Oreochromis niloticus: one gene and its partners. The protein of the gene in region 2 interacts with the protein of the main gene of each other region in a pairwise test. Links are inferred from orthologs where the notes say so. Each region holds a gene or a part of one and is shown on either strand. Other genes may lie near its edges.

Evidence for each region.
Region 1: the proteins of tnika (region 2) and clu interact in a two-hybrid assay, tested with the Homo sapiens proteins (2 studies listed by BioGRID and IntAct). The link is inferred for Oreochromis niloticus from reciprocal best matches to the Homo sapiens genes TNIK and CLU.
Region 3: the proteins of tnika (region 2) and golga4 interact in a two-hybrid assay, tested with the Homo sapiens proteins (2 studies listed by BioGRID and IntAct). The link is inferred for Oreochromis niloticus from reciprocal best matches to the Homo sapiens genes TNIK and GOLGA4.
Region 4: the proteins of tnika (region 2) and akap9 interact in a two-hybrid assay, tested with the Homo sapiens proteins (2 studies listed by BioGRID and IntAct). The link is inferred for Oreochromis niloticus from reciprocal best matches to the Homo sapiens genes TNIK and AKAP9.

What each region holds. Positions count from the first base shown.
Region 1 is NC_031980.2:16,613,827-16,621,600, forward strand, and holds the start of clu (clusterin), read left to right. Parts: upstream 1-4,760; 5' UTR 4,761-4,897; intron 4,898-7,774.
Region 2 is NC_031983.2:19,800,169-19,807,050, reverse strand, and holds the start of tnika (TRAF2 and NCK interacting kinase a), read left to right. Parts: upstream 1-3,877; 5' UTR 3,878-4,241; coding exon 4,242-4,298; intron 4,299-6,882. UniProt on the Homo sapiens protein: Serine/threonine kinase that acts as an essential activator of the Wnt signaling pathway. Recruited to promoters of Wnt target genes and required to activate their expression. May act by phosphorylating TCF4/TCF7L2.
Region 3 is NC_031978.2:21,684,895-21,692,355, forward strand, and holds the start of golga4 (golgin subfamily A member 4), read left to right. Parts: upstream 1-4,455; 5' UTR 4,456-4,626; coding exon 4,627-4,704; intron 4,705-5,888; coding exon 5,889-5,963; intron 5,964-7,398; coding exon 7,399-7,461. UniProt on the Homo sapiens protein: Involved in vesicular trafficking at the Golgi apparatus level. May play a role in delivery of transport vesicles containing GPI-linked proteins from the trans-Golgi network through its interaction with MACF1. Involved in endosome-to-Golgi trafficking.
Region 4 is NC_031985.2:17,966,253-17,974,191, reverse strand, and holds the start of akap9 (A-kinase anchor protein 9), read left to right. Parts: upstream 1-4,926; 5' UTR 4,927-5,128; coding exon 5,129-5,176; intron 5,177-7,939. UniProt on the Homo sapiens protein: Scaffolding protein that assembles several protein kinases and phosphatases on the centrosome and Golgi apparatus. Required to maintain the integrity of the Golgi apparatus. Required for microtubule nucleation at the cis-side of the Golgi apparatus.

The DNA of each region.
Region 1 (7,774 bases), on a different chromosome or scaffold from region 2:
GTTTATCTTCTTTTACCTCTGTTTTGGTGTTCATCAGCTCATGTGGCAATAATAATTACAGGGCACTTTTTGACCAAAACAAAGATGGTTGCTCAAGCAACACAACACAAACCATAAAATGAGTAACATATATGTTTCTCTGGAAGCTAAATGCTTCACTGGATGTGTTCACCAATCAGTTGGTGAAATGATGAAAGTTCAAGTATTAGCCAGTATCACGCAGGTCATGTGTAGCCCAAAAGGCTTAATGTGAGTTGCAGATGACAAATTCACCCGACCTTTCCGACTTGGTTTTCTATTACAAATTACAAATTGTAAATTTAAAACACATTCCCCAGAATGCCTGAGTATGATGTTTCACTGGTATAGTATTTCTCTCGCTTTCACTCTCTGTTACCTCTCATTGTCAGGAATTCGGAAGGGTGAGGTCATTGCTTTCTTACTGTTGTGTTACATACAGCAGATGTCCTGCATGCCTTGTCTAATGTCAGCCCACAACTCAGAGGAGCCGAATCTTTGCTTTGGTTCTTTCAAAGGACTTCTTTAAAGAATTTAAGCACAGCCGAGTTTAATTTTCTTGCTATATTTGTCTTACCAGCCACTGGGGGCACAATATGGGTAGGAAGGACAGTAAGTGGAGGAACTGGTAAAGGGATGACGTACAGTTTGGAGATTGTGGTACTGACAAAAAGACAGGAGGCAGAGCTGGAGGAAGGTGCTAAGATTTGGGGGGGAATGACCAGGAGTAACAATAGGATAGTGTGGAGACAAATTTAGAGAGACAAGGCTAAGGTGGCTTATCCATGTGTAGAGGAAAGATGGAAGAAATACTGGACAAAGAATTTTGAAGATGGTGCTGGGAGAGTAAGGTGGAGGCCAATGAGCCCCTGTGGTGACCCCTGGAAGGTAGCTAGAAGAAAGTGTTACCCTGAATACATCACCTGCAACAGAGTTTAGAACACTTCATTAGCTACACCTTGCAAGTACCAAGTTGGACAGAGTTAAAATACTCAGACCAGCGCATTTGTCACCAAGAACCATGCCACTTTCAAAACTCTTAAATTAACTTTTTACCCAATTCTAATGCTCAGTTTGAACTTCAGTAGGTCATCTCGAGCGTGTGTACGTGCTGAAATGCTGAGCCGCTGCTATGTGAAAACTGCTCTTCTGTCAATATACTCTCATCTTGCCCATTAATATTGATATAAATGTATTAAAAGCTGTTTTTAATACAGCGGTGTGATGTGCTGTTTCTATGCCGTGAGTAAGTTCAAAAGAGATGAAACTCATCAAGAATGAACAACACAAGATGTTCCAAGAATCTCATCCTCCACAGTCTTCTGATGGCAATTTGCTCCATTAAAACATCATCTCGATTTGATGAAACACCTTCCAGAGAGTTTTGTAAAAACAACAAAACTCCAGGACTACAAAGAGAAGAGGACAGTGTGACTGTGTCACAATCATCACATGAGCGCCATCTTTTGGGTCCCAACCGTCCTTTAAAGCTTTGCTATGTTGTTGTTCAATGTCATGGTCAACTCACACGTGAAACATGGAGAATATTTTCTACCATATTTGACTCAATATGTTGACACAGATGTTTGGGTTCAATGTTGGTGATTAATCCAGATACAGTGAGATCCTGCAGCTGAGCTGTTGTCCATATTATTATTATATAATACCACTACTGTATGACTTGAGATTTCATGTTTCCATTTATATTTGTAAACCAAATGATACACACCACATATAGAAGTCAAATCCAAGGCTACAAAGGTGCCTCTAAGCAAAATATTTTAAAATAGTTTCCTAAATTTTAAGGCACTACAGTACAGTACACATGCAATTAACTGTTAACCAACACTGGCAATTTTTTGTAGCGTTGTAGAATTGTGTGCCTATTTGTGTAATAACCAGCTCTGGCTTGTAACTACACAGATTAAATGGCTTAAATATAAGACTATTTAACATGTTTATATTTAATATAAACAGGTTAAAAATAAATAAATGCCAAATCATTGTTGTCATCTGAATTTTTCTATTATTTCAACGTCAAGACGTAAAATATTTTAAGTTGGAAATGTAACCGCGAGTGTGCTAATGATGTTTGGAAAGCATTAAACAATCCAGTCAAGTACCCTCACTGTAAGTCTTCAAACTTTAAGTCCTGGGAGGAGGAGACCTTATTAGAATGGAGTTTGTGCCACCTAGTGTAGCAACTTTACTTTTACACTTTTACACTTTCACAAACAAACATGGGAACTTAGTATACTGTGTGTTTATTGCTGTTTTGTTTAATGTAATTAATGAATTTTAGTTACATACAGTTGTATTTTTCCAACTACAACTCCTGCCTGACCAAAGAGCTTAACACCAGTTTGATCAACCCACTCAACTACTGTGACTCTAAGAGGACGCGGATGCCTCTATGAACAACTTCACTAAGGAGTGTCGAACTCTGTGGGCTGACAACAGGTTAGTCTGTACTTGTGTTAGACTGATCTAAACCACACAACTTAAGCTGCAGAGCTGTTTAAAGACTAACATCTAACTAACACTGCCGATCACAGCTCGGCAGAGACACGACTGAAGCTGACGCACAACAAAAGAATTTGTGTTTTACCCGCTGTGTTTGTGTGTCTTTGTGCGTGTCCATGAGATTTACTGGAACATCGGTGCCCTGAGACAACACAAGCCCTTGTAAGTTGTTTGTTAGGAGGATTAATTGTGTTTAAAGACACTTGGACTGGAACTGCATTTGTATTTGATGTGCATTCATGAGCGTATTCTTCTGTTTTAACTTTCCTACACTCCTGAGTCATATGTTTAAAATTCCCATAATCCCTCTCACACTTATGGAAAGCAGGTGCAGAATGACTATTGTCAAAACAATCTCGGTGACCTCTGAGTTTTTTTAACTGGAGTTTGGATGACATTGCTCTCTTGGGACAAACACGCAAGTGCAAAACATCAGCAAATACATGCAGCTCTGTGTTTCAGTTTTGGGAGCTTTTGTTTTTCAGAATTATCTATTTTTAAGATAACACTTAGTCCTTGAATTTATCTGAAAACTCGCTCTCATCAGCAAAACAGGAGCCAACTCCAGCCTTGTTGGGTCTTTGTGTTAAGTGAAGCTTTAAAAAATAAAACAACAACCCCCGGTAACATTTTTTTCAGTATTTCCCACACTCTTAACTTCAACACTAGTATTTCCTGTCTTATAGAAATAAACAAAGCTTTTCAAGTCTTTTCAAATCAGCCCGAATTCATTCAGCAAGATCAACCACATCATATATTTACAGCAGATCTCAAGCAAAGGGAACAGCACAAATGTTCTTTTTTTCTGAATTCATTCATTCCTCATTCATTCTTATTAGACATCAAGAATCCTGTTTCTTTAAACAGTGTAAATCCTTTTGAACTGCATCTGTTGCAGAGAAAGTACTGCAGAAGAATCATGTGATTATGACTAAACACAAACACTGTATATACAATGATACAGCAAACTAATTTAACCCAAATATTACATTGTGTACTTTTCTATTTATACTTATATAATAGTATATCCATTAGGAAGCTTACATCCTCAGTAGTTTATTGCAGGCAGTATATTGTTGGTTGTTATGAAACAGTGTTTTTCCAGTGTGGTTTGGTAAAATGCCGATAAAGAAACATTTTAAATGTTGAGTCACTGTCAGGATGCGTCAAATGTTTCTGTGTCTGCTCACCACCTCTGAGAGGTGCCAATAAATGACAAAAAACTTCTGGAAAAGTCTTCTCACTGATGTCAAGCCAGAAACAATTGAAGGCAACCATGACAGGAAACAATTATTTATATCAAAATAAAAGTCTGCTTTCCGTAATTTGTGGAAGAAGCATGTGGGGAAGAAAAGTACATCAAATTGATGAATGAATCTGAATTCAATTTAAATAGCGCTTTAGTGAACACAATAACATATAATCAGTTATAAAATATTAATTGAAGACTATCTTGATAGGAGCATGTGTGTTACATCTTACAAAAAAGGTATTTTACACACAAAAAACTCAACATAATTAACTGGCCTGATTTTTATTTTATTTTAGGGCCCTCATTCATTCTGGGATGTACCACGTTAAAGGTGTAGGAGTCTAATATTGTTATTGCTGTTGTATTAGTTTTAGGTTACTATTATCAATGATATTTTAATGTATTAATCAAACTATAAAATAATAATAAATGTCATAAATACATATTATATGAAGGTCTATATATATGTGAAAAGTTTTTGTTATTAATTTCATGTTACAGCCCAAAAATATTATCTTTTTACTAAATGCATCATCTTAAAATATCAGTTTGTTTCAGTGGTTCTTTTCTGTTATTGTTGCTGTTCAATAATTTATTTATTATTTTGTTCTTTTTTGCCTTTTTTTTCTAATCAGCAAAGCAGATGTCAGTGCTAACTACTGAATGGTTGTGCTTTTATATTTTGTAGTGTTATTACATGATCTTAATCATCAAGTTTTGGAGGTTTCTGTCGGGCACAGTTCAGACTTATTCAGATGATTCCGTTTTTAAAAGAAAGAAAAGACGTTTGGCAAGTCTATCCATATTTGTTGTTAAAAATTTACAAGAGGTAAGTAGAATTACTGAACTGCGATTCCTAAACTGAAACTTAGCAATTTGCATGAAAATATTTTCGTTTTGTTTTCTAAATGTTTATTTTGAAGCGTAACGCAGGAAGTTGGTGTTCACATTGCGGTACTTTTGAGAGCTGGATGCGGCGGCAGCAGCATGCTTGGTCAGTGAATCACATGTCTGCACCGTCCCCGTTATCCGCTGGTATAAATAAGAGCAGCAGCGAGCCTGGGGCAGCTTCAGACGAGCTGGAGTCTCAGGAAACAGACAGAGGTGAGTCAGAGGAGCTTTGCTTTTTGCAGGTCGGCGATGCTCACAGAAAAAGAAAAAGAAAAACAACAAGTGTTTTTGTGTGCAGATTGTGGTGGTTACAGTTTTATATAAGCTATAACATATTTAAACAAAGCAGAACAGACCTCGTTTGCATTTTGCAGGTTTTGCAGATAAAACGTCAGACTGTAAAAATCACTTTTAACTTAATAATTAAAGCATGTCGTGTTATTCCCTTTCATGCGGTCGTGCTGACTGAAGGTGATTGCTGTTTAAATTGCTTACTCATGGGTGTGACCTCCATCTCTGGATCAAAACAACTGGATTAGGGAGGATGACGTCCTGCTGTGGTTTACTTCAATAACACGCTTCAGCATTTTACGCAGTGCTTGGTGCATAAATAATAATAAAAACATGAAGCTAAATTATAAATCACATGCATGTTTGCAGCTTTTAAAATGTTGCACTATTAAAGCATTGCTGGATCTTTATTATTATTGTTACATTTTCTGGTTTAGAAATAGAAATAGCCCTGATTCCTTCATGCCTATAGGACAGTTAAGTCCTATGGGTGAAGAAGTCCCCAAACACTTTAAATAATGAGGCCAGTGTCCCATTTTTGACAGATTAGTCCATTTTTTTCTTCTTATTTAAGCACCAGGAAAGTCATTAATGGGGCACCAGAAGCAAAAGGAGCAAATCTATCAGGCAAGATATTTTAGAAATACCTGGGTAATTTCACTGTCATTGTTACACTTTTGCAGAATAAACGACAAGTTTAATAAAGAAATTGTAGAATAAAATGAAAGAAATTTCATTAAATCATTGCAAAATATTAAACTTTATAAGTGAAATGTGCGAATAGCTGTGCAGCAGTATACTGCAGGGCAACAACGTCATAAATACAAAGTTATGGTAATGTAAGCTATTTTAGAGTATAAAGTGTAATCTGTATGAGATAAATGTTACAATAACAAAATACAAAAAACAAAATTAGCAAGATATTTTGTATTTTTCTGATTTTATAAACATAAACTACAACATCAGACAAACAAATTTGTTGTGTTCCCGATGCTTAAAGTGGCAGAGGTTTGCCTTAAAAATGAACAAAATTCTTCTTCATTTCTCAGTACTAAATGTCTTTTAATAGTGTCAAATAAAATATTTACAACGGTAAATAAATACTTTCAGAAAATAAAGGTGATGTGTGGGAGAATGAGCAAATGTTGATATCATACTGCTAATGCTGAACTTTCTAGAAGAACATCTGGAGAGGAGGAGTGTTGGTATTTCAGTTGTGTAACCAGGATCCTTGCAGCTGTTGTTCAGCAAATAACACAACTGGGCCCGCGCATTGTTAATACTTTTTATTTGCCTAACTTTATCTCCATCTCTCTCTCTCTCACTGTTTTTGCTGTTTAATTTTCTGTGGCTTTGTCTGTGCTTTTCATTTCAGCATTGCTCATTCTTTCCCCTCACTGAACGTCGGGGCTTACTCGTTATTTTTTTCTCTCATTACAAAAGGCTGGATTGGAAATAGGTGGACGTCCAGTCCAGCCCTGCTGAATTTAGAACAGCTGATGACATGACTGAAAAAAATATCCAGGAAGGTTACATCAGCGCTGATTTAAGACTATACTGTGTACTGTAACAAGAACACAGACAATGGACACAAAAAATCTCAATTTAAACTATTTTAAGATGGCATAAACCTTTTCTGATTAGTAATTATTAATTCGGTATGGGCATTTTGACCATATAGTGCAAGGAGACCCAAAAAGTTTCCGAAGATAGCAAAGTTTTCATACTGATTCTGGGGAAGGGTGTGTAAGCTGATCTGCAGGTCATCTTAAATATTCTTATTTGACTGAACCCATGCAGAGTCATGGGAATGAATGGCCCTCTTTCAGTGGGATGATTGAATACATTCAGTAGGACAGGGTTGAATAAATAAAGGGATCAGGAAATATAAACAGATCAACTACCAAACAATGCAAAAGTTCTTGACCGTTTTGGGGTGTTGCAGCAGATTTGTATGCATACTGTACTCTGCTTGTTTCCATAGAAACAGGAGGAGATTGTGGGCGAACGACTGCAAACAAAAACACACTGTAGAAGATGAGCAAGACACTCCTAAGACCTGTGCTTTTATACTGGGTGTGCAAATGCTTTGCTTCACCTGAAGTACCTGGAGCTTGCAATGTGTCTGCATGCAGACAATTTCATTAAGAACAGAACTACAGGTGTAAATGCATCTTTGTGTGAATCTCATTTTCAGCAGTTTAGAAAAAAGAAAAAGATGTCTATCTTGTCTCAACATGACAGATTTGCCCATTCACAAATCTTGTGGAAGACCTTGGCTGTCCTCTACATCAGTGATTTTCCTGATTTTTGGAAACCAACGAATCCTTCCTTAAATGTTTTCAGCATACTTTCATATTAAACAATATCTGCTTTTTATGCGATCACTTAGCTCTTTAAGCCTGAAAACATCTGCGTAGCTACCCTTTTGCTCAATCAAAACTCTAAATCAGCGTGAATGGTTTCGTAAGAGTCTTGAAAAATTCTTAGTCGTAATTCTGCCAAATTTGATCCACAGCAAAAGCTACGTCCGGTTTAATCACCATAGAAGTGGGCAGCCTTTCCACTGTGTGCGCCAAGTTCTGCAAACAAAACAAAAAATCCTTAAAAAAAAGTCTTCTAAGTAGATTTTTTTGCTTTCTGTTATGTTTTGTGTCAAGTAAGAACGCGCATTATCTAATGGTTGACACAAGTGTGTAATTTTGGTTATGGTTAAACACTGAGCTAATCCTGATAAAGACTAATCTCCAGAAGGCTCAAGAAAAACTCAGTGAATCAGCAAAGTTCAGCTAGACTGCT
Region 2 (6,882 bases):
TGCTGCTTTTGATAAATTATTTAAATTTACAAGCATGTAATCTCAGAGGTGTTTTGAAGATTTTGTTTGTGTAAGAAATTGAAGATATGCTTGCTCTTTGCTTTGTTTCCAACTGCACAGAAACAATGTTACCGTTTCGAGAGCAGTGCACAATTTACTAACTATGCTGAAGTCTGATTGCCATGATGCTTGTACCAATCGCACCTCTGAGAAAAAAAAAACAAAACCTCATCACTGACATTTTATTTGTTGTTGAAGATGTTTTGTGACCTGGTAAAATGATTCGAGTGGCTTTTTAAGACAATCGGCGTGTCCATTTAGAAGAGAAATTTCTTCTTTGTTCAGCAGATGGTGCTAGCTTCCTAAAAATCAGTTGCAAAATTAGAAAATAAGATCTCAAGGATCTTTAAGGTCCTCTTGGTAAGTAAAAATGGATTTTGAACATTGTAACAAAAACAAACAGCAAAACTACAGCAATTATGTTTGTCATTAAGCATGCAGATGAAGCTGGATGTAAAGCTTTCGTATGAAGTCAGGCTTTGAAATTGCTTTGTTCCAGTTTCTGTGTAGTTCCAGATTGAAAACAGCATTTCAAAGACTTTATTTTTTTGTTTTTATTGTAATGTAACAGTTCAGAGTAAAATGACCTTTTCTCGAGATACTTGCGATAGGTGATCCACGAGCAGTTTATATATTTTGTAAATGTGAAAATATTGACTCGTGTTACCCAGTTTGTTTTCATTTTTAATATTTTCCACGTTGTCTTATTTGAGCATCACCATCCCCTAAATGTGAAGATAAATAACCACTTCTTTAGAAACTAATCACATAGTCGGTTAATTATGACACATTGGAATCACAAGGTATTTAACAAATCAACCACATAATTACTTTGACCTGGCATAGAGCTCCAGTTTTGTCATGTAAAGGCAGCACCCTTTGTTTACCCAGTGTGTGAATCATTGCCATTTATGTAAGAGAAAATGACTGGGACCACAACATTGGCAGATGTAAAATCAAGTGCTTCTATTTGAAAATTATTTCTCTTTGTTAGTAAAATGATAAAAAAAAACTTTTACATTTTAAACTGTTTTGAATTTGACATTATTGTCTGCTATGTTTATTATTTATGGAGTTTAAAGAATTGAGCATTCTTTAACATTTATTTTTAAATGTATGTCACGTTCACATGGATGATTTTGGACTCGTTTTCTTTTTCATAGCCACCTTGAAGCTGTTCTTTCTGTAAACTCTCTGGACCTCTTGCCTTCATTCAGTTAATGTACAATAACCTTTTTGTACAGTTAAAAGATTTCCGATATCTATCTGTTCATTTGAAACTATGTAATTAAAATGACTAACAAATACGCATATCTTTGAACTTTTTGTTTCCTTTTTACGTGAAAATAGGCACATCTATGAAACTTGATCATTTCTAAGATATATGGCTTGACAGACCAGCTTCAATAATAGGCTCCTGCATAATAATTTCTTATAATGCCTGTGTGACTACATTCCCATCTCTAGTACACGTCAATATGAGTAAAGCAACGGCTCTCGCTCCAACTGTGAAAAAACAGGTAGGTTGTTGCATGAGAAATAAGAACTGTTGAACCTGTTAACCCCCAGAAAACAGCTTCTGCATGGTCGAAGAATGTGAGCAAACATGTATTTCTTTTCTCATGAAACAGTGAAATCAGCAGCAGTTGCAATATGGAAAATAAATCAATATGTTTCATTAACTTTGAAAACAAAAGTTGGGTGCAAAAGCTAGGCTGGAGGACATCTTCAGTTATTTGGGAATATAGTAGGAAAGTCTATACTGTTGTATAAAAGACCCACTGTTTATGAACCAAACATTAAAATGTATATGGAGAATTACAAATTGCTGAACATATATAGTGGAAAGTGGTGAATAATATGCTAAACGATTGTTTTTTTTCTATTGTGAAAAATCACAGGGGCGTTGGCCAGTTGTGTATGTGTGCAATCAGCTCTGCTATAGCAAAAGAAGTACTAACAAACCAATTTGTTGGTTATGCCCATAAGGAGCATAAAAGAAATAGAAAAACAAAGGCTTAATTTTTATGTTTTTCCATTTGAAGGCAGTTGAGTACAGAACGCTCCTCCCTTCTCTCGAAAATGACACTCCATAAAACTCAGGAGGCCTGATTCAGTAGAATGTCGTTGGCTGCATGTTATGGCATGTGAGATGGCCTAGTTGCTTGCTGGTTTAGAAACATTGACACATAAGGATATAAAGCGACCTGATCGGAAATTCAGTTTATTTGTCATTAAGAATTCTCATAAGCATGTGACACAGGTTTTGTGAAGTCATGCATGGCAGTACTCCAAAATGTGACAAGAAAAGCCAAAACAAAAAAACCTCTGATCTGCTTGAATGTTTAAATTCTCTTCAAAAAAAAAAAAAAAAATCAGTTTGAAATAAATGGTGTAAAGCCAAAAACACACAGCTGGAAAATAATTAATTTTCAATTTTCTCTTCCTGAAAAGAGCTCCCTTTCTCTTTCCTTGTTCCTTGTTCGTATTTTTGTTTGGACTTTATGGAAAAAAAAATTCACCTCAAAGCTAAACATACCTTCCTTAGAAAGCTCTTCAGAAAAGGGTATGATGAAAACCACTGAAAAGGAAGTTCCTTTCACAGGTATGTCAGTGTGGAATTTTGTGTTTTGATGTCTTGATGTTTCCATCTGTTTTCTACTGGCATGCTTTTGCTTGCTTTGCCTAGTACTAATAATATTAAACTACACTGACTGAATTTGGATGGAAGTCAATGCTATTTTTACAATGTACTGTAACGTAAATACTTGGAAACTTTTTTCCTCCACACTCAACTCACTCATGAAATATGCGAGAACATCTTATGTTGCTGGTTTGGTTAATGATGATAAACAAAATCCAAGGTTCTTGTTTGACAGAATCAGCAGACTCCTGTGGGACAACCTCGCTTAGCCTCTATCAGGTCGACTGATAACTGCTGAAAACACATTTTTATAAGCGTTCCCTTAATTTCCCCCTTTGCTTTGGGCTATACTTTATAACTATTTGTATGTATGGAAGTGTGTATGTTGGAATGAATGTCTGACCGTACTGTTGATTTAATGTCCATTAATGTGTCTGTATGTTTGAACAGGCATACTTAACTTTAATCTGTGGCTTCTATTGACACTGTGAAGCACTTTGTAGAAAAGTACTATACAAATAAAATTATTATTATTGTTATTATTTTATCAGTAGTAGTAGTATTGTTGTTGTTGTCGTTTTTTTAAAATAATTGATTAATAAATAAATCATTTACTGTGTTTTTCTTGTCTCTTGCTTGCCCTCAGACAAATTCAGGGGAACCTAGAGTTGGATCCAGAGACCAGAGAGGTTTCGTCTTGTCTTTGGTGGAATGAGAATGTTATTCGTTGTTTATCATGTTTCCACAGATTTATGAAAATGCTTCAGGCTCCTAAGTGTAACGGGAAAGGGGTTGCAAGGTAACAGGAAACCTGATAAACAGACACCAGTTCAGTTGCCTTGTGTGTTTACATTTGATGGATTCAATAATTATCTGTGTTTGTGTGTGTGTTGGGCCAGGTTACATTTTTTGTGATTAAAATATACCGATTTTCCTGAAAAAAATGAATAAATAAAGAAAATACACATAGTGTTCTATTTAATCAAAAGTACACAGGGAAATATAAGCAACAATCAGAAAGTATTTCTTCAGTCAGTTTCTTTTGTTTTGTACAAGGACATTGCTATTAAACACGAGGAAGAAAAAAGTTTGGAAGTCCTCGCTGCCTCAGTAAACCCCGCCCGGTAACAGGCGTGGTTTGCTGAGGGAAAGCGGCTCCCACCTCCCTCCTTCTCTATATTTACTGGCTGGCTGTCACAGCAGCTTCTGTACCAGAAACAAATCAGTCTCCGTATTGCTTCACCTTACTCTGTATGGTCTACATCCCGCAGACATGGACTTCCAAGTGTTGATGTACACGGTGCTATCGCTTTCTATCCTCCACGCGTTTGCGCTCTAGCTGTGCGCTCCAGGCCCGAGGAGCGTCCAGCTGCTGACGAGAAAGGGACTGATATTATTTTGTCATCCATTGACACATCACTGTGCAAGAGAGAGGGGGGATAGTAGACCTAGCAGCAGAAGAGACCACACAGTCGTGACAGCTAAGACCGTTTCTGGATATCGGACAACAGACAGTGGCTTTTTTGTGTCCTCCATCATGGCGAGTGACTCTCCAGCACGGAGTCTGGACGAAATCGACCTATCTACTTTGAGAGTAAGATTAATTTACGTTTAATTTCTGTTAAAGAAAAAAAGAGAAAAAGAGTGTGTGTGCGTGTCTGTGTGTAAGAAAATTGATGTGTGCGCTCGCGCGTTCCTCCTTCTCTTGCACCTGACAGTGCTCCCTGAATAACAACCGGCACAGAGCAGAGGAGGCTGCAAAAGGCGGATGTGTGGGAGACGGGCCGCCACAGTGTGTCAAATTATAGATCAAATTATATATAGACATTAACCAACATTACAGCTGGCTTGCACATCTGAAGGCTTATCTTCATTCAAGTCAGTTACCGGAAGGTCGGTGTTGTGTGTGATGCTGAATTAAGGTTGAGGCTGTGATTTTGCTGACCTGGATAGGGGGTGTTGTGTATCTTCTTTCAGTGGGCCAGCCTATTATAGCCTCATCAGAATTGATTCAGAGTGGAATTTAACCTATTTCTACCACACACTGCTGATTCTCGTGGCTTGTGTATTGTAAGAACAGGACAGAAACTGCTTTTAAGTCAAACTCATATCTATCCAGATTTTTTTCTCTCTTGCTGTTCTTCATGGTATTTACTCAGTGTGTGTGTGTGTGTGTGTGTGTACATGTGTGTGTGTGTGTGTGTGTGCAAGAGAGAGAGGCAAGCGTGCCAACCTACCTGTAGTCACTGTAACCTACTCAAAGTCACAACTGAAGCCTTGCATGCTGCAATAGCCAGTTCTTTTGTTCATCCAGTATGTGCTGTAAACCATAATACACACACACACACACACACACACACACACACACACACACACGTGCACACAAACAGACAGGCATACACAAACAGCCTGTGTTTATGTGTGGAGACCCATATTTTCACTTCATTGGGCAGTACGTGTGTTTCTAATGTGTAGGTGTCTGCCAAGCTGATAGTCAACTGCATAAAGCAGTAAGGGATGCTTCAGCTAAAGACCCGTTTGCCGCTTTGAGAAACAAAACCACATCCCTCTTGCTTTGTCTCTCTCACACAGCGCAGTTGTCGTCTGTTTGTGCCCACATGCCATTTTTGTCTCCAGTTCTGTCTTTGCTGGTCTCTTTCTTGCTTCATGGTTTCTTGCCTATTTGTTTCTGCTTCACTAACACCAACTCATCCATCTACCTCCATTCCGTTTCTTTTCTATCAATTTCATCACCTGTTTTTCTATCACCTTGTCTATCTGACTGACTGAATGTACCTCCCTGTCTCTCTGCCAGTCGTTCTGTCTCCTAGCATTATGTCTCTGCGCCCACGTCCTTGCACTGCTTGAAAGAAGAATAATATTTCCAAGGAATTGTGAATCAAGTGTTTAGGAAAATAAGTGCTACTTTTTAGGTTTACGCCTAGCAAAATTTCATCAGCGGGACGAGCTCTATTAAAGACAGAATGGAAAGAGAAATCTGAAAGAAGAAGAGGAGTAGAATAAAACAGACAGAGAAACACTGAAAGAGGAATGAGGAGGCGAGTGGGAGTTCAGCCATGGATGCCTTATTCTTTAGGAGGCAGGATTTCAAGTGTCTGTCACTGTGACTTAGAGGCAGCTTACAAGGACGTGCAAACACATCCAGATGCTCATGTTTGCCTTTACATAGAAGTGCATTTAGGAGTATGGGAATATATAATTATGTCAAATGATTACTACTATCTTAAAAGTAGTGATGAGTTCACAACACTAAGAGCCTTAAAGGTTTTAGGCAAGACCAGTAGGTTAGTTCAAACTTTCATTAGCCTCAAAGCTAAGATTCTATTATTATTGTTATTATTATTTTATTTTATTTATTTTTTTCCTATGTTAGATATTTCATTTGATGAAGTGGTACAGCTCTAAAAAAAGTTTTCATATTTTTCATAAAAATAGTGCTTGAGTCAAAAGATGGAAGTGGAAAAAATAGAAGAGAAAAAATAGAATAGAGATTTCCTACCACCATAATGCTACATTAGGGGAAGCCAGAACCTTTATTTTAATATTTTTCCCCCAAACTATACTCCAGCTATTTCCTTTGTAATATTATGTTGTGAATGTCTTTTGTGATTTCCTCCGTAACTAAGTTACACAACCTGAACAACATGTTCTACAAGCTGAAATAAACAATGATTTCCAGAGAAGTCTTAAACAAACCAAGGTTTGTCCATTCAACATGTACGAACAATACCTATCTTCCCGAGCAATACACACGCGCGCACACACACACACATAGACAGACACACACATGGTCTAAGATGAATTTACAGTCATCCACTGCTGGACTGGCTAGACAGGAAGTAGGTCAGCTGGCTCTGACGAGGTGGGTAGGGTTGAGTGGGGGCTTATAAATACTGGGCTTGGTGATGATGGTGGGGCATTGTGTTTTAAAGTCTATATGAGTGTATGGTTGGGGGGGGTGGGGGGCTGTTCCAGGGCTAGAGCTTCCTTATAGGCACAATGACCATCACACAGACACACACACTCATAAGAGACAGACAGAATTGAGTGGGAAGTAAAGTGGAAAGAGAAGTGGCTTTTCATGTTTGCTGCCTCTGCACTTTTTCCTCTCTTGCTTTGTTTTCATATGCCTTGTCAGGTCTCTGCAACATCTGCTG
Region 3 (7,461 bases), on a different chromosome or scaffold from region 2:
TGCATTCCACTGAAATATATGAAATTTGGTTAAATAAATTGAATACCAGCCTCTTTCACTGAGCACTCACTCAGACAGATGGATGACAGCAGCTGGTAAGTCAGTAAACAAGCAAGAGTACAATAAATACTCTGTTTTAGGCTTTTTTAATTGATGTGGTAGTGTCACTTTTCTGAAAGTGAGGCTCTGTGTCATTTTAGCACACTCTGTTATTGTTCGCTCCCAGGACAGTTAATAAGCCATCTTTTCAGGCTCCAGTTAATCATCACGGGCTGTCCAATAAGACTGACAGAGCTGCAGTGTCTCTCACTATTCTTCCCACACAAAACCTTGTCCTGCGCTAAGAAAGGTGGGTGTGTTGCCATGCAGGGGTAGCTCCATCTTGTGGATCCAACCTTCGCTAAAGCAAAACAAATACAATGAAGAAAACTGAGGGATCCCTTCTCAGAATTCCCATTCACATATTCACAATCAAGTCTGTGCATGTGTATAAATGGGATCGTTATTATAACATGAATAAATATAAGTCTGTGTAAAATGTTTAAATGCATATAATCGTAGAACACTCACAAAATAAGAGCTTTTTAATATTTTTTTAGGTTATTAGTGCAGATTTTGGCACCTGCCTTTTAATACACCTTCATCGGGTCAACATCTCATGAAAAGGTTTGCAGATTTTCATGCATCGTTGGTCAGCCGGGCACAAAAACTGATGACTGTGCAATGCTTATCTTCATGCCAGTGACATGCACATGCCCAGAAACGGCTTTTGGAAAAGTCTCTCAAAGCTGGGACGCCTCCCTGCAACGTGAATCGTGGACACTAAACAGTCAGGTGATGACACCACGGGAGATGGAGTTGGTTGGTTAGTTGGTTGGTTACAGTTTTAACTCAACCTTTAAAAAAGGACTGATTATTTTAAAGCTAGAATTATCCATCCTTGCACTTAGTTACATATGCACAAGTGATTCTATCATTGTTTGACTAAAACAGTCATCATCTACTTCTTCTTGTAAATTTGTTTGTTTCTGTAAACGGAAATTGTCAAACAACAGTTTTTACACACAAACTCTGAGAAATAAGTCATGTGACACTGGCGGGTTGAATAACAATGATAATCATTTAGATTCTGGTGGGGATTTGATGTATTTTAAGACACCCGTTGCCTGATTTTACCCCTTGCAGAGCAAAGCAGTGGTTTACTAATTTTTCTACTTGGTGGATTTTTTTTGTTGTTGTTAAAAAAGAGAAGTGATGAGGAAAATATCAGAGTGGCATCAGAATCAGAGACTACATCAGCATGTCAAAAGAAAACCGTGTATTGCTGGGATTTGGTGTGAATTGTGAAAATGTATATTTGGGTGGGAGGTAGGAGGTGAACTCTATCAATTCTTAATCAGTGTGGATCCCTCCAGAGAAATAAGTATGTCTATGTGTAAGTCTGAGGTAAGTTTGGGCCCATATACATTTACATTTGAGCACATTTCAACTTTTTTACAGTCGCCTGCATTGTTAAAGCCTGCCAGCTTCTAAAACTTTTAAACTTATGCCATGGCAAAATATATTCTCATGCTATAACCTTGTACCTCTACCATCTCTTGGAAGTTTACATTAGAGTTATAAAGCTCATAATGCTACTCTTACAGATTTTCAAGCACTAAGTCTGCTCAGCGTTTCTGTAAAGTCACGGTGATTCTCATTGTTCACCAGTGCTGCCAGAAGCTTACGTTTTTTATTGGATGCCGTAACTCCACAGGGGATTTTTAGTATTCCTCTTCTCATAAATCTTTTCTCTAAGGCCACTGTGTCATCTGCAGTGAATCTGAGGCGTGCCCTCTTCCCCTACAGGCCGTGCATGGCTTTACTTCCAGCTAAAAGGTGATATTCCTATAAAATGTGTCTATAACCATTTCCATTTTATCACCTCCTCTTATTTTCAGAGATAAATGGTTTTTATTGTTTTGGAAGATTTATATGATAAGGGCATGTTACATGTCAGATCATCTCTGGAGCCCATCAAAAAGAAATTTCTCCCTTAAACATCACTTTATTTAAACAGCTTTTTAAAGTCAAAGGGGATAAAATTGTACATTAAATCACCAGAGATTGTCTTTTTCCCTCTATAGCGTTCAGGTAAATGTTATACTGTTGCCCTACACTTATCAACAGTCATAACAGCGAGGAGCTGACATTTAACCAAAGGGTAAAATTTGTAGTTTTTTGTCACAGCCTTGTAGGAGAGTTTTCTTTTTGCCTTAAGCGATTCTAGAAATGCAAACATGTGGTCCAAATCAAAATTGCTAGCAGACCTGCAACAGCCAGACTTCTTATTTTGAGTTCATGTGCTCTCTGCCGCACGCCTTGGGGTAAGGCATTAGCCACCACACGAAACAGAGGAACAGAGGAGCTGCATCTCTGCGTTAACCACCCACCGTTCTAGTCACCCGTCGTAGATCAAAAGCCCCGCCGAGTCGTAAGCATTAGAGTAAGAATGCAGAAAAAATGCAAATCACAGCCACATTTTCATTTTAGTCTTTTGGATCTAAAACAACATGAATTCCATTTTTTCTCCAGCAGACAGCAAAGTCTGACTCAGAAGCTTTTTTTTTCTTCAGGTATTTGCACAAGGCTGGTTCCCAACAGACGGAAAACGCCACATATTTAAACCATGACTCACGCCTACGGTGAGACTTTTTTCTAGCAGGTTCACTGTCTGTTACAGTTTACATTACCCAAGACATTATGACTCAGATTAAGAGCAAACATACAGTGTCTTTTTTAGATATGCATCATTTTAAGATTAATACCAACCCCAGAAGAAGAGTGACCTAATCAGAGATCATCATATAAATAATAAATTTGAGCTGTTGTTCATCTGTTTGTGTTGCTCACTGTATGCCTCTCGTGTGCCTTGTTCCAATTGGGAAGACAGATTCTAACCTGGAGGCTATTAGTTGTAAATCATGTTGATCTCAGAATAGGTTTATATAAAATAAATACTTTAAATTTTATGAATTTAAAACACTGGTAGCATTTTGTGGGTGTCATGTTTGTCTGTGTTATTGAAGGCATTCAACTTTGAAAAGACTGCTACAGAAAACTCATTTCAGCTCAATGCCGCTGCCACACCGACAAAAGAACCGCTGTGTTAGAGGTCATCCTCTGGCAATTGTACGGACCTCTGTGCTCGGTTCAGCAGCACTGCACTGGTAAAACTGGCTCTGCTTCAGCTGCTGCAGCACAAAGACATTAATTACAACACAAGAAGCTGCTAAGTTGGCAACAGCGTGTAATGCTCCAGCTTTCCCCCGCTGTGACATTCACTTTTAGGTATGCTGCCAAAGATTAAAGGGAAAGTAATTAAACTTCTCCTAGCAGAGACAAAATACTACCAGCCGGAAAACCTGATAGCACATACAGGACGAAACCTTATGTAAGTCTTGTTAGTTGTGTTTTCAACTGGCCTGAAGGAAAATCACAGTAAAACATGCTTAAAGAGTGCCCTCTTGAGTCCAAACTGTGATTTTTGTATTTATCTGCACCTTTTGACAGGTTACAGCTTTTTAGATAGTAATCTTAAGAATAGCCAGCGTGTCTCTGCCCTGAACCCAGACTGGGAGCTGCTTTCACAGAAGAGGAGCCTGATAGCAGAAGACACTGTCTCCCATTGGAAATTTCAGGACCCACAACTAAACCTGCAATCTTGGAGTGAAGAGTAGGGCATGCAATGAGGTCTATTAGATCTTTAAACCAAGGACCATGTATGTGAGGAGAAGGATTTTAAATTTAACTCTAGATTTAACAGGGAGCTCAAGAAGAGACTTAGGAAAATGGATTTCACTTTCTACTTTTTGTTAATACTTCATCCATTCGTCCATTCTCTTCCGCTTGGTCGTGGGGTGGCTGAAGCCTATCCCAGCTGTCATAGCGTGAGAGGCAGGGTACACCCTGGACAGATCGCCAGTCTATCATTAAAAAAAGAAATTCAGATAAAGATGTTTCCCATCTGTTTTCCTCATACAAAGATCTTTAAATTCATTCATGCATATTTTTCATTCAGTGTTTTAAAGAAGTGATGCAAAATACCACATCCACAAATGCAAATTCAGTGTTTCTAAAATGTTTTTTTTCTGTTTTTAAGAATGAGTTTGTGAGTTTGACATTGCAAGACTGAGTTTAGTGCATGTATCTTGGAATGTAATTTTTAAAATACGGCCTTATTTGTTTGTTTGTTTTTATCCCTCTTTGTGAGGATTCCTTGTGTTGTGTTTTTGTTTGTTTGTTTGTTTTTTGCTGTTTTGTATGTGCTTCTGTATACCACATGTGTTAAAGTGTCTTCACGTTCCAAATGTCTTAATAAATAGGCTGTAATATATCCCAAACACGCTGCTATCTAAGGGGGCGCTGTAGCTAACTCAGCCCAGACGGGCCCTTTAAGTCTGACGTTTCAGATTTCCTCCACGTTGGCCGCACATGCGCGGATAGGCTTACCACCTGCAGAAAATTAGAAGCGAACAAGGAAGTCTGCCCCTGAGTACTGGATGATAGGCTGGATAAAAACAAAAAACCTCTCCGCCGGAAAGTAGACACCCGGTCACCAGTTGCTTCGTATATCGGCGTGACAAGATGTTTAAAAAACTCAAGCAGAAGATAAACGAGGAGCAGTCTCCGCAGAGGAATGCGCAGTCACCTCAGCAGGCCCAGGTTAGTTGTTGTGGTGCTCGGAGCTAACTAGCTAAGTTAACGTCTGTTTATACTGCAAAGGCTTCACGGTTTGGAAGTGGTTGTCTAGTTATGTCTCATTAAGATAACTCAAGATGACAGCTTAATAAGCTAACTTGAATTGTCAGTTTGTCCTTTTACTGTCTTGGAAACATTAGCACCGTGCTAAGTCCTTAAGTTAGCAGCTTAACTTGGCTGTCAGCGGTTGGACCAACTGGAACTGGTAAATCCCGTTGTCCGAGTAGAAGAAAAAGTCTCACTTCTTACAGCTAATCATCAACTTGTTTGTAGCCAAAATGCCAGCCCGCATTTTTATACTCGCCAGTGACAACATGGGCGTGTCTGAGTTAATGCTTCTTGCATTGGCTGCCAGTGGATGTCAGCTGGAAGCTATATTTGACCCTTGCAAATCCTACTACTCCCAGGCGTCTCTATTAAAAACAATACAGAAGTAGCACACAGATTTCAAGTTGGAAGTTTGTCATTGGAAAAGTGCTAGAAAACTCATCAGATCCCTTGCTTTCCTCTTCTGTGAAAAAAAATGCGAATTGTTCTTTGAAATATGAAGCTGCAAGTTTCTTTAAGCTCTCCTAAATATATGTGAAGGAGTGAAGGTATGTGTCATAGTTTGGAGGTCCATCATAGTTCAGTTCCAAGTTAATGTAGATGTTTTCGCTGTATTTCTCTGTTTGCCTTACATGCAAAAGATCCCCAGTTCAGTTCTGGGAGGAGATCCAAACCCAGCCTCAGGGGCTCACAAGCTAGGGCTTATTCCCTATCCAGATAAATGACAGGGCTGCATCTGGCATAAAATATGCAGATCCAGCAAACCTTTGGAAGATGGATAGATAAATTTCCTTGTTCTAATTGGCTTGGTTCTTATGCAGATTGGCTGTTTTTGAGGAACAAATTTACATTTGTTATTCAGAGCTTGTGTGCAGTTTATGATTCCCATTGACTTTCTGTAAAACCACAATCTTAGACTGAGTTTGGCTCAAAGGTGAAGGCGTACAAAAGGTGAAATCCAGTAACAAGAGAACTTACACCCAGCAAGCATCTGTATTAAAGTTTGATTTATTGCCAGGCAACAAAATCAATATTATTGTTATGACTATGTTTTTTTATTATAATTACTTCTTTTTCCTTATTACTTATTTATTTTACAGATCAGCAGTGGAGAGCGACGTAGCAGCCAAACTCCCCCATTTAGTGATGGCACACCTTCTCCCAGTGACAGAGAGGTGAGCATGGTGTCAGCCTGTGATTCATATCTTTATTTATATATGTATACTTGTGTTCAGACCACAGCCTGCAGAGGTTTCCAAGTCCCTCCCCAGCTTACATTCTAATGATTGTTTCTCTTAGGCTTTAAAAATGTGCTTTGTATGCTTTGTTTAAGCGTACTGTCTGCTTTATAACATACAAGTCCCTTTTTGATTGAAAGTGAACAAGTGAACATTTAGTGCTATTGGTTTTCAGAGTCTTCTGGTTGTCACTAGCAAACTTCTTTGATCCAATTATTTAAAATAATCCAACAATCTAGACATATTGAACCCTGGACTCCTTAACATATTGCAGTGGATACAATAGCCAACACCAGATGGGAACATATGAGCCAGACTTGCAGTGTGGTCATTAATGTTGCAGAGCAGTCACCACTTGGATTCCATTCGTACGGTATTTTAAGTGTCTGAAGTCACTTATTATTATTATCATTAGTATTATTATTATTATTGTTATTACATTTTTAAGAGACCCTGTTCAAACAACTGAGCAGCTTCTTCTTTAGAGACAATGGAAAGGGCGTTTTAATGGTGTAGAGCAGACAGTGTTTCAGCATGTCTATGAATAATTGATGTATCCTCCTCAGTGTTTTTTGTGTCTCCTGTGACTAGTTGCAATATTATGCCTCAATAGATACTGACAAGTCAATTCAATGCAGGACTATGCTCCATTAGAAAGAGGTAGATAAGCGTAGGTTTAATGGCAGTGACTCTACAACTGATGATGCAAAATGTTGTTATTACATCTGTTGAGATTAGATATGGATGTTTACAGTCTTCGTTGTTTTTCAGATAAAACAATATCTTAATCACTCTTTCCTTCATTTCAACACTGCAGAACGCTCACTGGAGTAGTGGCACCGTCTCTTTTGGTCAGGTTTCTATGCACTGCTCTCCCCACTTGTGCCTTTGGAAGCACACATGTGTTGCTGTTATGTGGCTCGGCAGCCTCAGTGTAGAAGCTTCGTGTAGCATCACAGCATCTTTACTTCACCTCACGAATCATTAACACTTTGACATCTCTGAAAGCATTTGTTTCATGACTGAAGGCAGATTTAGCCCTTGGTTAAAATTGTGAAGATTACATGAGGAGATGTGAAACTGTTACTCATAACATTACTGTTGATTGAGTGCTTGACTTTTCAGTTTTTCTGATTTTTTTTTTCTTTTTCTTCCAGCTTATGTAGTGTATCTCCCTCTGTTTCAATCTCTGCTTTCTCTTTTTTATTCATCTCAGTCTTTCTCTCTCTCTCTCCGCCAGCCTCCTCTCATCAGGCTGGTCAGCCACTCCCTTCAGGGCTTTTTCACACTCATGCTGTTGTTTTTCTCATTGCTCTCTGTGTTCCTCTCCTTTCCCCACCTTTCGTCCCGTTACTGCACTGATGGGGGTCAGGTGCTGGCCGGGATGATAGCAGAGCCTGCTTTTCTCTCTGAGTATACTATCTTTGCTCTGGAC
Region 4 (7,939 bases), on a different chromosome or scaffold from region 2:
TCACAGTCCACAGGACCAGAAAGCACAGGATACCCAGTAGTTCAATGTTAATTCCCCAAAACATCAGAGCTTTTAGGACGATCCACACAATATTACACAGATGACGTCTTAATGTTGTGAATGGTTTGTGTAAGGATGGTAGGCGGGATTTTAGAAAAACCATTTGCCCAGTTTCCCCTCATTTCTATTAATATTGTTCAATATCAATTTTCAAACATTTTATTGAATTTTAATTATTTTTAATTCACTACATCCTACATAAGTGATGTGTAAATTAATGTATTCTACATTTTGAGTCATTTGCTTACCACTAGTCAAATTTAAAGACGTGGTTTAATTAAAATTAACCTTCAAAAATGTATGGTCTGTGTGCATCAAGAATTTTTCCTTTCTTAGTTTGATGAAAACCTGAATTTTTCAAAAACAATTTAAAGGACATCTCCATGGAGATGACCCTGAATAAGTGCTTTTCTGCTTTGCACATACTGTACATTCTAAATTACAGTGTGTTCAGTCACTAGTGAAGCTCTCGGAGAGTAATGACATTTTTCAGTAACCTGGGAAGCTTCAATTACATAATAAAAACACAGCATTATAGAGGACTGGACCGTTGTTACAGGCATCAATAGTTAATTCTGTCTCAGCTAGCAGATGCTCTCGTACAAGCTACAAAAGGACATTTACCATGTGTTATGGTTCACAGCCTGCCACTGAGAAACGTACTGACCCAGTGCGTCTCTTTACTGATGAGTCCCCCCACTTATGCATATTTTAATGCATGACACTGATATTGTCATTATGCAAATACACATTGCTCTGCTGCTTTGAGACTGAAGTGAGCTCTATCGCAACAGCTGGGCAGCTGGAGTCTCGATTCAAATTTGTCTCACACATCCACAGGTCACAGTTACATTTGCATTTGCACACCTGAAATTTTCTTAAACGTATCCAAAGTATTTTAGGGACCCTTATAGTCTTTGTGTCTGTCTTTTAATTACTTATACTCTATGACAGAAGATAAAGAGAGGCTATAACACACCATAAATGGTAAGAGTGGTTCAATCTGATCTACTCTGCTATTGTATTTGAAACAGAGACATTCCCACATGTTGCTGAGCTTCCAGCTTTCTTGTTGCACTTAACTAAACCTACTGGAGTGTGACATGTATTTTTTTAGCCCCCATAAAAGTTATTTGGCCTCATAAGAGATTACAAGAAGCCAAGATTTCTTAAACATAGAAATAGATCATACATGTTTTGGTAATACAAACAGTCATGTGAAGCTTTCACAGGACTTTATCAGTCGCTTACAACACTGAAGAGGAATTTCAGCTAGTATACCCTTACTGTTTCCATAGGAATTAAGTGGGCAAGTGGCAGCCCAGTGCTGCTAATCTCTAACAAGTATGGCTTGTTTGGATGGACTGCCAGAAGAAAGCCTCTTCTCTCTAAAAAGACCAAAGTGGAGATTCATGGCCATAATGCACAACACCATGTTTGGAGAAAGGTAAGTACAGCATGTCAGCACACCACCTACTGTCAAGCACGGTGGCGGATAGGCCATGATTTAGCTTGTTTTTGCAACCATGTCCTCATTTTTACATATTGGGTTTATGAAGCATAACACAATAAAGTCTCAATTGTGTAATAAAATATAGAATACTTTGAGCAGAATGAAGTATAAGGATGAAGAAAAGCATTAAAAAAAAAATGTAATCATATGAGGATCTCAGGAGGTGAAACTATATGACACTTCTGGGCTATAAATACACTTTAATTTAAAAGAGCCGCAGCACTGGATGTGATGATAATCTACATTAGTTAAGGTTGCTTTTAATCTTTTGTCCACCATGTGTATTTAAAGTGTTATAAGTCTCAGCTGAATGGTGCTTTTAATCTTTTGTCCACCATGTGTATTTAAAGTGTTATAAGAAAAATGGTTCAAAGTGGTTTTATTTTACTTTTCAGTATATAGATGTTTCTATCATTTTAATTCTAACAGCCTTTATTCACCACCCTCTGACTTATAAATATAGCATGCATGCTGTTCATTTGTTGAGCTTGTCTTGGTAAAGTCACTTGGGTAATTGTAGACTCTGTATACTCCCTGAGTGAATCAATAATTCAGAGACTGGCGAAACTTTCAAAAGTTCCTGCAGACGCTGGTGCTCAAACAGCGAGCTTTCACAGGTGAGATCAGGCTGGTGAGAATGTCCAAAAGAAGATGGGTGGAATTCAAAATCTGCCAGACGATAAGCTGTTCAGCCCCCGTCAGCCGAAGACACAGAGCATCTTCTCCCGCTGCTGCTGCTGCTGCTACTGCTACTACTGGTATGTTTCTGGAAGTATAAGGAAAAGTTTAATATTTTATAATTCTACAAGAATATTTTAACCTGGATGTTAGAACAAGAAATCTTCGAGTGAAACTGAGGCAAAACGCTTAGGTAGGATATTGGTTTAAGACTGGACTGGCCTGCAAATAAAAAGGGAATAAATGTTGGTCCACCTGGAATTTAATCTCAGGGAAATTGAAATAAAATGTAACAGTGTAAGGAAATAATCAAAGAATATGAAATATTAAAACTGGTTAAAATTTGTTAGTCTTACATTTGCAGTTTGAGGCATGCCCTGGGGAAATATGGCGTTTAAGCAAATGTGTAACAAATAATCTCCAGATTTCTAAAATCCCAGCAAAGACCCCTCTGAATTACTGCCCATATCCCCTATTAGCTCACTGGTGATCAAATAAAAACTTTAAAGCAACAAGATTAGTTCATCTAACGATCAAGCCATAAAGTTTATATTATCACTGACTTATTTGGGAGAAAATGACAGGAAAGATAAAAGGCCCTTAGTTTGCCAAGAATATGCTACTTTAATTAAATATATACTATTTTAAGACTGAAGATCAATCCCACATGGAGGCTGTGAGTAAAATATTGCCTGTCCATTTGTTTTAATCGTCCCCATCTGTCCTAGAAACCGATGCCAGTCTCTCATATTACCTGCAGCACCATTCAGCTGGGACAGCTCACGTGCTTCCTCTTTAACATATGGCAGCATTCTTGGTGATGCAGCCCATTCAAACGCCATGCTGGAGAATGTGAGGTGACGGCTGGAGCCTTTATTAGCAGCAAACATCTTTGATATGAAAATATTCTGTGTTTAAAAAAGAAAACTCTCAACTGGGACAGCTCTGGCAACCTCTCCTCCTCGCCTGTTACCATAGAAACTGAGCAGACTTTACAAGCAGACTTCAGACTGCAGAGAATGAAGGGAAATTTATGGGATTGTAGTCAAATATAGTGACGGGATTATTAATAATTAGCACTAAATGTATTATTTTTGCATTAAATAATCTTTTACATTGTGAGAAATTCAGCCCTCTTTTCTGTAATGGCTCTACAAATTCACAAATATCTTTCAAACCACAAAGACAGAGAAAAAAAGAGAATCATAAATTATGGAGAAATGTGGTGTGTTTGGATTTAAAGCAGTCAGCAAGTGTTTCATCACCACCCTCAATGGTAGACGCCAACTAAATGCATTTTAGTGAGATACTTATGTGGGTACAAATGGAGAGACATGTATTTTATTTTGATAGCATCTGGCATTTGCCTCCATTACTTTATCAGTCAAGATATATTTATAGAAGACAAATTTAAAGCTACCCAATAGGATTAGGAGTATTTCAAGTGGCAGGGAGTGAAACCGGTTTGAACATGCTTGATAATTGTTTCACAAAGTGAAAAAAAAATGGGCTAAAAAGTAAAATTTATATTAAAGGCTTATGTGGTTTCATGGTGAACAAGTTATTAAATCATAATATACTTAGTGTCTAAAGTAAATGTACTTATTATATTGAATATCACTTTTCAGAATCATGTATATACTGGATCATAATTTCTGATTCACTGATTTGTATGTCACTGTATGAGTGCAAACTACAGTATTTGCAAAGAAAATATGGTAAAGTAGAAGCAGAATGTAGCATTACATTGAAATACTTAATATGCTCTCATCCACTGGGCATCATTAAGCTTTACAGTACTCTGGTCCAAAGGCATTAGCGGGGCATGCCCGAGAACAGGATACACAGTGGTTAAAATTAGTTAGATTAAATCTATCCGCTGTTTTTGGATACAGGGTTATACTTTTACTTTTAATTATTATTTTGTTGTTGTTGTTTAGATATATACTAAAACTGTGCTGAATTAATTGTCATGTCATTGCTTCTTTTACTCAAAGTCAGAATCAGAGCTTGACAGTGAAAGAATTTTTTCGAATTAATTAGCTGGAAGTTGAATTTGGTATTCCCACCTCACCTAAAAACAAGTTTCTGGGAGACAATTCAGCAACAACCATGTGAGAACTTGAGTAAGAAAACACTTTCCTTTTTCAGTAGGTGGAGGTTTGCAATAAATAACAGATTCTGGTCATCAGACAACAGACTTTTTAATGACAATATATATATCGAAATGTAATTTTTTAACTTTATTTTTTTTATAAATGAATTAAAGTATTTAAAAAACTTTTTCTAGTACTGTGTGGTCATACGAAAAAGTGATCGCTTGCCAAAATTTGATTTCCTGTATTTGCCTGCTCTGAGTGACTTGATGGCCTATAATCTGTCCAACATTCCTGACACTATTTGGGAGTTGTGGTCACTTTTTCATAACGTTACTTTTATATATCTTTTACTTATACAGGTGTAAAAGTCCCACTGAAAATAAAAATGACTTTTTAAAGAGAGATATGGCTAAGAATACACCAGAAATAGTAACAATATAACATAATATATAGAAATTTGAAGTGGTAAAAAAAAACGACGATCATGTTGGGGACGGTATTTCTGACTGAGCGTGAACGCACCACCGTTGGGCTGCCAGTGGGCGTGGCTGTGAAGGCACCTACACTACGTCATCATTACTGGGTCTCATGTTTACGTGGAAAACATGGCGGCGGACTACCAACAAGGAGACAGCTAGTTAATACCAGTGGAAGTCTCTGGGAGCGAGCCACGAGTCAGAGAGAGAGAGGGACATTTAGCTGTTAGCTTTTAAATTTCTCTCGCGGATACTTCGCATGAGGCAGTTTCTCTGTTTGTTTAGCCACAGGGACTGCGGGGATGGAAGACGAGGAGAGGCAAAAGAAGCTGGAGGCCGGCAAAGCAAAGGTATGATTCTCAGTTTTGGTGCTAGCACAACTCACTGACACTGCTCTCATTACTCTGAAGTAGCGACTTAATGCTGTCGACAACTTGTTTTCTCGCGGCCGGGGTCTGTCAGACGCTTTTCGCCTCACCCCCCCTCCCTTTCATTTTACGCTATCAGCTGTCGGGCTCCGCAAACATGCGCCCTGCTTCGCTCTGACAGCCGGGCATGGGGCGGGCGGGGTGGGGGTGGTTAGCATAGCCGCTGCTAGTCTCCTTTGTCATGCTGCATGTCTGCACTTACTAAAGTGTTTCCTTTTACTTTACCGAAACCGATGTGCAGGTGTGCGCACGCAGTGTTAAGACCAGACGCCACATTGCTACCCGGGATTTATAAACGCCACCTGAAGTGACACTGACTGACAGGCTGGTGTAACAGGATTTACAGGACATAACCCCACTGGCTAGAACCAGCATTGCCTCACATGCCAAACTTGTGCTTTATTAGCTGTCTTCTAGAAACGATAGCATCCACAAACTGGATCAATGTTTATATTAATCGACATTGACACAGTGCTCACTCCTCTTTCAGTTTTGGCTCGTGGTGCTTGTGGATGACACTGCAGGAGCTCTGTTATCTATTTTTATAGCCTGTATAACCCAAACATCTTGTGGGGGATGTGTTTTATCAAAAAAGATGTTTGCAAAGAGATCTTAGCAACATAATTACAAGCTGGTCAGACCAGCCTGTGGTGAGCCACCATCTTTCTTTCATATCATGAATACACCAGTGTCATGCTGCAAGCATGTGGACAATTAGATAAAGCATATGCACAGTTGAGTGTTGCAGTATAGCCCTGAATGTTGCATTCTTATACATTCTTTCCTCAGCTGTCTGGATGCAAAAGCATATATATAAATGAGACTTTAGTTGATGCAGAGGCTTCTTAACAATCTTAATAATATTTAAGGAAAATCTTTATTTGCAATGTTGCCTGTCTAGTTTTCATGATCCTGCTCTCAAGGTTCAGATGTGGGTCCAGTGTTAGATTTCATGGTGTATGCCAGTTGTTATGGATGTTGAAGCTGTGGAAAGCTTTGGGAGGAGTGTCGGTACTTATTTGACTGGAGTTATTTTAAGTTGCAAATTTTAAGACAGAAACATCAGCCTGAGCCATTAGATTGAGACCAAATGTTTATAAAGTGAAGCACTTGTGTATTTCTAAAAATATTACCGTGCAGCACAAACTTACAAAATCTTGTAAAGAGATTGTATCTGCAATCTTTGTACATAGGTAATGTGTTTATATATCTATTTATTTTTTGTTTTCTTTCTACTGTGGGAAATGGGATCCTGAGGTTTGATTACGTCTTCTCTTTTACTCCAGGAGAGCCCTAATGAGAATGAGTCTCTACGAACTAAATTGTCGAGTCAGAAAGTGTCAAAACTGCTTAAATCAGGCAGTCTCACAAAGGGAAATCCAGCCTCTTTCCATCCAGATGCTGCAGAGAAACATTCAGCATGCTGGTTTTTAAATTGCTTGAGCTCTCTGGTTTTTGCACTGCAGGGGAGACCGTCTCCCGGGTTATGACTTTGGTATTTTGGTTTATAAAAAGGCCCCTCTGTGGTGCAGGCTGGTTTCTTTCACACAGTGCCAAATCACAGTGTCCTCACGCAGTGAAGAAATCTCATGACATAATGTTTAACAGGGACTTCCAGGGCTGAGTCAGTCCATAAGCTGTGGGGAGTGTTTGCATTGTCTTCTGGCTTCCTCACTTTATAAAAAAATATTTGTTTTGTCATGTATTTCCTCCTGAAAAATAGGATTTTTAGTAATAAATCTTAACAAGAATGACTTCAAAGATGCATTTCTGAAATCAGGTGAAGGAGAAGTTGATGTTGATATCTGAGTGAAGGGTAAACTGTCTGTCATCTATTGTGTAGCTCGTAGCAGGCGAGTGCCTATTGAGTCACACCAGACAATAAGCAAAGTGAATATTGTGGGCCAGTGTTGCCAGGCTTTTGTTTCAGGCTGTTGTGTGCAGATGCTTTGTTCATGTTTGCCTACAAAATGGAGCACACTGACAAGCGTGTTACTGGCATTCTGGATTTATTCATTCAAGACTTTCACTCAGTTCTTCAGTTACATGAGTAGCATCTTCTTAGGCTCCCTGTATGAAAAACACTCAGCACTGACTGCAATAATGTACTCAGGGTGGTGTCAGATTTTCTGTTGGGTCAAAGAAACTCATGAACTCAGATATGGCACCTGTTCCTACACTTACTTTCTCTAAATCCCTCCCAATTTTCAGATCCAAACGTCACCTGTCATGTCACTTTGTAGTTGTGGGTAAATTTTCTGTCTGTATATATCTGTCAGATGAAGAGTTTCTTTGTTTGTTTCCCTCCAATTAAGATTGAAGCTTATTATATCTTCTTTTTTATTCTTACAGAGGTGTGCGTTTCCACTGAATGAAAGTACCTTTTTCATGTTGTTTGTCACCCTGGTCGTTGGGATCAGTAGTACATTGAACAGAGCTGATTTTTAATGAAACATCAGGGAATAACCTGCGTCAGTATATTTGCTGTTTGAGCAGGCTCAGATTTATACTGATTGGCTCAGGGGGCAGCCACTATGGTGGTGTTTAATTTGGCTCAGGGGATGCTCATAATTCGTAAAGGATTCTATGTGTATTTGTTTGTCTGCTTCTCCGATATGTCTCAACTGTGCAGCTGTGCAACCTCAGGCTCTTTCTGCAGAATGAAGAATCACTGATTTGTTTGTG